2 linked regions of the Drosophila melanogaster genome follow. The protein of the gene in region 1 interacts with the protein of each later gene in a pairwise test. Each region holds a gene or a part of one and is shown on either strand. Other genes may lie near its edges.

Region 1 (3,094 bases):
TCGATGGAAAACCAAACTAAAACAAACTGCAGCAACAATCAATTTTCGCGCTTCTTACACTCAAACTCGAAATTATTGTGAACTACATACATATACTCGTATTGTACATACAAAGGCGGAAAGTTTGAGGGTCCCGACAAAAAAATTCAGCATAGACTGTAAGAAAATCCCATGCTCACTCACACGTATTTGCTAAACAAAAAGCCAATAAGCTTAAGGATAATCTCAAAGAACACCTTTTCTCGACTACTCTATTGATATGTATTTTTTTTTTGGGTATCTAGTAAGCTACTACATTGATATAACGTTAACGATACTGATAGCAGCAGATGAAAATCTTACTTTGTGTGCATTATATTCAACATAAGCAATACTTAATTTAGCATTCGAATGCATTAAGCAATGTTTATTAACAATTAAAACGATTCTAAACTTAAACCCCCAATGGAAACTCATTCTTACACTACACACATTCTACATTCTACACACAAACCACATACCTAACAAGTTTTTGGAATTATTGCGAAAAGAAAAAGATAAACTTAAAGCAAAAAACGAATGTGCAGTTTTATTTCATGCCTCTATTGTAAAACTGTCTTTAGTGGACTTGGGTCTAAATAGTTTATAATTATCCTATTTAAAAATTGTGAGTTGAGGAACTTAAGTGGATATTTCCCATGACGACTACCAGGGCCTCCAGAGATTTGGCTTGGATTTGGATGTGGAGGCCACAAGATGATCCAATTCTTTCGCAAATTCGAAACTCGGCTGATAGCCGTTGTGTTGCAGAAATTGGGACACTTCCAGGACGCATTCTCGAAAGCCACTCCAATAGCAATCAATTGGGCTCTGATATACTCCGGATGTAGGCGCTGTGGTGGGCGTGGCCACCGGACAGTTTTTCTTGCTCAGGTGGTGAACTGCCAATTCCAGGACATCTCCCATATCCATTTTGGCCATGGTCTCGCCGTCCTGTATGCAAACATTTCAAACATATTATATTGTATCAATTTTAAGAGATACAATATACAAAATCATTTTGCTACGAGCTGAGATGAGTAAGAAGACCATGGGTCAGAGGTCAACGTGAGACCACTCACCAGATGCGACACCTCCTGAAGCAGGTCCTTAATAAAGTCCAGGCAGCGATTGATGCGTGACCGCCTCTTCCTCTCCATCATTGGCTTAAAAACCTCTCGATACTGATGAGATCGTGACTTTGCTCCAACATGAGACTTCTGCTCCTCGGGACGTGCCATCATAAGCCTGGCCCAGCTCCACCTTCGGATCTTAAGCGACTGAATGGCCCAAGGAATTGGAGCAGCAGCGGCAGCTTAGATACACCCTAAGTAGCACGGCTCAGGGCATATTAGTTTTACGGAAATATGGGCTCATCCCATATATGAATCCCTTGGTTTTCTTTACAGTTACTTTGCACAATTTGCATCTTTCGTATTTCACAATTGTTTTGGTCTTTAGTACTAAATACTGCGAGGTATTATTCAGTCGCATTTTATTTTTTTTACTTACCTTGCATTAACCATCTCAGATTTCTGACAGCTTACGCAACCGAAGCAGCGATGTCGACTGCAGACGATGCGTGTTTCATTGAGGAAAATTTGCTGATGGCAAAAGTTGTCGCCGGCCTAAAGACACCTACTTGGGGTTCCTAGGAATCGGAAAAGTAAACGTTGCTGGTTACTGGGATACTTGGTTGCTCGAAGGGAACGCGAATTGGGGAAGTTCCAAATAATTCACAGAAAACCAGAAGACACCAGATATATTGGACCATACAATCCCTGTATGCCTATATCTCAATCACAAATTGATTTGCACTTTAAAAAATGATTGGAGATATAATATTTATTTGAAAGTATAGCTAATTTTACAAGTTAAGATACAAGTTGAATTCTCTTGTATGAATTTACAAACTTATGTTCTGTGGTGTTTGTCAACACCATTCTTTATGTTATTCAAGATATATAAAATTAAAATATTTCTTCACGTTCTGGAATATTTTTTCCCGTGCACTCGACTATTATACAACTTCATTTGGTGTCAAAACCGATGAGAATCTGTTTCTGGAGGCTTCTGTTTATTTGGTTTTCTGCGATGGCTTCCGCGCCAGCTGAAGTATCTGATTTGCTGCCTTGTTTTTGTTGATATTTCTGCGAAGGGACTTGTGCTTTTCAAATGGCCTTTTTTTGGGATTACGGCAAGGGCGCGTTTCCCACGCTCGATCCCCACTTACCATTGGTGCACGCGATTGCGGCAAGCTGCTGAGGCAAGCTATTAAACGCCACACTGGGCCGGGGGGCGGTACCGGTGGGCGTGGCAGGGGAGTCGACACATGTTGTGTGCCAGAGAACTTTGCTCCGATCCCCAGATCATCAAATAGTTGTCGCTGTCTGCTCGTGCGCAAATTGCAATACTTTGCATACCCTTACTGCAGGGTATCTGAGCTTGGACTTTAAATAAGGGGGTATAACATAGCTTATACTCTCTATCTCTGTTATAAAGTCAATTTTCCTTAGATCTTTAGTACAGTGGGTAGTTAAGGAGACATAACTTCCAAAAAAAAAAACTATAAAATTGCAATAATTTATGCAAAATATGTATTTTATTGAATGGGATGAATAATTTACCTTATACGACTGTAAAACATTTCTAACGATTAAATGCACTTCTAAAAGTTTTCCCACAAGTAGGTGAGCTATTATGCTAAGCGTTCCATGACTTGGAATCTAAGATCTTGTTTTGATCTTCGCTGATCTTTGAGAACTCGGGGATTACTTACACATTTCTGGGCAGGCACAAGTGGGCCGAGGCAGTGTAGATTCATCACGTTTTCACTCAACACACGCAGCTCATTAACAGCCCCGCTGACAACTTGTCAGGACTTCCCCCTCGTGAATCCCCCTGCTACGCAACCCCCATTCCCCGCCCATTCCAACACTTCCCGCCGGGAGCGTGGGAAATTATGCGTGTTGGTGGGACGTCGGGCGGTGAAAATTGGCGCGCTCTTCGGGGGGCCACACCGCGTGGCATTGACAACTCTTCCACATTTCGCGCCCAACGATGCGTTGGCATCAGT
Region 2 (3,696 bases), 2.2 Mb from region 1:
AGAGAGACGGCAAGCGAGGGAGAATGAGGAGAGAGAGAATGAGAGAGCGAGAGAGAGAGAGAGACGGCGAGAGAGCGAAAGAATCGGTCGATCGCATAATGAAACCAAAAAGCAAAACGTTAAAGTTATTTCCATATTATATTATATATACATATAAATTTAAATATAAATGTTAGTTGAAGTCCACTCATAATTAAACACAAGGCTTAAACGTTAGACGCAACCCAATTGAATCCAATCCAATCCATTCCCATCCATCTCGAGTCCGAACCCCGCCCAAAACAGTTAATAAGCTACGTAATTGATATTGATAACCCCGAGAACACAAAGGGGCTAAAAACGTTTATAATGATGATCTATTTAAAAGTTAGATGCCGCAAAGAAAACTCTATCTGAACTAAACGGAAGCTAAATAAAATACTTTATAAAGCAATTGCCCCCCGTTTAATTTAGTATCTTGCAACGACTGAAAGAAATGGATCCACCCGGGGGCGCCAAGTAATGGATTGTTAAAGCATAATGCTGAGATAAAGAAGTTCTTCGTATTTATTTTAGACTAAAAATTTAGCAGATCTCTTGAAGCCTACGCCCAGACCTAGCCAACTACTTTTCATCGCTGGTAAAGGACAGGCCGGAAGTGAAGCCATCGCTGAACGCGCTGTACTCCGCCTGCTCCTCCGCCTGCGGCTGGTCGTCGGCCTGTTCCCGGCCCAGTTCCTCCGGCTGTCCCGAGGCGTTCTCTTGGCTGCCTGTGGGCACGCAAGAGCGCGGTGCCGTGCGGCGCTTTAACGGCGTCTCATCGTCCTGGCCGTCGTCACGTTCATCCTCGTCCAGCTCATCCCGCGAGACTTCCACTGCGGCTGCCTGAGCTGGGGAATCGGAAGCGGTGCCGCTGGTGTTGACCGCCGCATTGCCCAAAACGGCTCCCACGACTCCTCGCAGCACCCTGTAGAAGGCGTCGTGCACCTGACCCATCACTTGGCTAGCCGGACGCACTTGCTCCGCCTCGGGCTGTTTATACTGTTGGTACTGGTTTGGCGGCTGAATCTGCTGGCCTCGCGCCCAGCTGCTGTGGCTGCTATGCTTCACGGCTCCCTCCGCCCGACGCTGCGGCTCCTCGCAGGGACACTTGCGCCGCGGAGCAGAGCCTGATCCTCCCGATGTGGGCGGAGGTGGTGGCGGCGGCGGATCGTCGCGACAACCATTGTCATCCTCGCCCGCCGCCCGGCGCTGCTGCTCGCGATCGAACTCGGTCATGGCCCGCTCCGATCGCTCCCGGCAAACGGAGCAGTCGGGATCCGCGCCGTAGACGCCAATGTCGCCATTGAGGGACGACTCGTGGTCCGATTCGCAGCTGCACTTGCCGCTGGCCAACTCGCCGGTCTTGCCGGATCCGCGGCGCAGCTTGTACACGATGAACAACAGGGCCAACGTGGCGTATGTGGCCTTTGCCACCTGCGAAATGGGTCATAGTATATGTATTTGTAAAAAATGTATGTAAAAAAATGTTAAATTAATAATTTTGAATTTCAATTTGGAGCTGAAAATAATATTTTGTGTCCATCAACAGCTCCAAAGCGATGGTTCATTTTATCTTGTGTGCGTTCAATAGAATCACTCTTACGTTAGCGCGTCCATTGATGGTTGTCCCATTGAAGTACTTCTTAAAGCCGTCGGCCATTGCTACTGGACTGGATCTGGAGATCTGGAGATCTGGATTTGGGGTCGGGTCCGGGTGAGAGCTGAGTGTGTTCTGCCTATAGCTCCGAGCGAGAACCTAATGACAAGCAGCGAAGTGCAAAGCTCGGCCAACTAGATTACAAAGTCGATTCATTGGCAGGATTCGATTTTTATTGACTCAACGAGGTGGTACATGAGTTTGGTCCCCAAGCCTTTAACTGTGGCATCGAGGACCGGAAAGGGGGTGCTGATTATAAATAGTTATGGATTGCTGACGGGTCGAATGGGTCGGAGCGGTGGGGAGCCATGACTTCAATGATTTGGCAGCATCGGCGCCCTAGCCATGGAGCATGGCCTGCTGGCAGCCCTTGCAGTAGAGCTTGGTCTCGCGCCGCTTCGTGTTGCGGCGGTGCATCTTGACCAGGACGTAGACGAGTCCCAACGAGGCCCAGGTGGCCTTGGCTACCTGTGGGTTTCGGTGGCGTATTTGGGCGCATCTTGTGTACTGCCGTGTACTGAATCACTTACATTGGCGCGACCACGCATGGTCTGGCTGTTGAAGGCTTCGTTGAAGTTGAAATGATCGGACATCTTTGGATCGTTGTTGACCGGATTGGCGTGGCTTTTAACAAAAGATTAAAATTTGGATTCGATATTCGACCTGTATTTTAGACCGGGATTCGGATTGTGACTTTTAAACGTTCGAAATGAAAGGAATGTTACTGACAGTCGTCAAAGCCGACTCGGGTTTCCCAACTAGAGAGAATGCTGAAGTCTAGTACCGACTAATGGGATACCCATTAATTACTGCTTAAATACTGTGATGAAAATTGAGATATGCAAGAGGCAAATCGAAAGTTTTGGACATTTTCATATTGTACCTTTAACCAACTTCAGAATTCATTGAGCTAAATACCATTTACAATTTTATGAAATTTTTAAGCATGTTACAGCTATAACTATTTTTAAACCAGTTACTAGATTCGTTGAAAATTGTATGTCACACAGAACTTCTTGCCATCCTGGTCGGAATTAGGATCACTAGCCAAGCCGATATGGCTATGTCTGTCCGTATGAAAGTCTTGGAATCTGATATTAACATCGCATATCGATCGACCATTATATATCTAATATATCCTCTACAAATGTATTTTATCACCTAGCTAGCATGTAAACATTCTGGCCTATTTAGCTGTACGCTTCAGTTATGCTAATGCAAACATAAGCCTTTTGTGATATTATAATTTACATTTATTATTTATTGCAGTTAGCTTTATCAGCGATTTGGGCTCATGCCACACGCAATACTACTTATTTCAACGTCATCAGTTGTACTAAATGCACAAATGAAATACATTTCGCCAAATAAATGCCAACTTGCAACTAATTTGAATGCTAATCAAACCGAACTACTCATTTGCATACAAGGTAATAGGTGGTTAAAGTGAGTGTAATGGACTTACTTAAGGGGTTACAAGGCTTATATTTAAAATGCCTGCCTTGTAATTAAATTTTTAAATATATTGGAAAAAAATGGCCACTTGTTATGTGAGTCTCCAGAAAAAAAACAAAAAAACAGCAACCATCTGGTATGCAAAATATCTGGTGGTAGCAAAATATCTGGTGGTATCTGGTGGACTATCAAAATATAAAAACTTTTTTTTCCAGATAGTATATCTTAAAATCAGCATCTTGAAGGAGTATATGTAAATAGCAAACTATTTGTAAAAATAGATTTTATTTTATAATTTTTTAAGATATATACCAAACATTATTACCGATTGTGATTATCTTTACATTGTTTGACCTCAAAACGGAAAACTGGATGCGCGGTATCCATGCGACCCTAACTCTGGAACCGATTTTGGAACCGCCCCGTTAGATCTCAGATTGAAACCTTATTTGCATTCGCATGATCGCTGATGAACACTGGGGAAATGCGGCCCAGCAATGGGATTGTCAACGCATCTCGGCCAGAATCGCGCCTCGCATGCCACCTCGCACGGTGACCACATA

The links. The genes of interacting proteins can lie anywhere in the genome.
Region 2: the proteins of Hesr (region 1) and CG15459 interact in a two-hybrid assay, tested with the Drosophila melanogaster proteins (one large-scale study listed by BioGRID).

What each region holds. Positions count from the first base shown.
Region 1 is NC_004354.4:18,203,859-18,206,952, forward strand, and holds Hesr (HES-related), read right to left. Parts: upstream 1,287-3,094; 5' UTR 1,263-1,286; coding exon 1,101-1,262; intron 973-1,100; coding exon 685-972; 3' UTR 545-684; downstream 1-544.
Region 2 is NC_004354.4:20,411,817-20,415,512, forward strand, and holds CG15459 (uncharacterized protein), read right to left. Parts: upstream 1,766-3,696; 5' UTR 1,682-1,765; coding exon 1,625-1,681; intron 1,456-1,624; coding exon 604-1,455; 3' UTR 525-603; downstream 1-524. Other genes in the region: CG15458 (uncharacterized protein), read right to left, coding at 2,018-2,146, 2,209-2,271.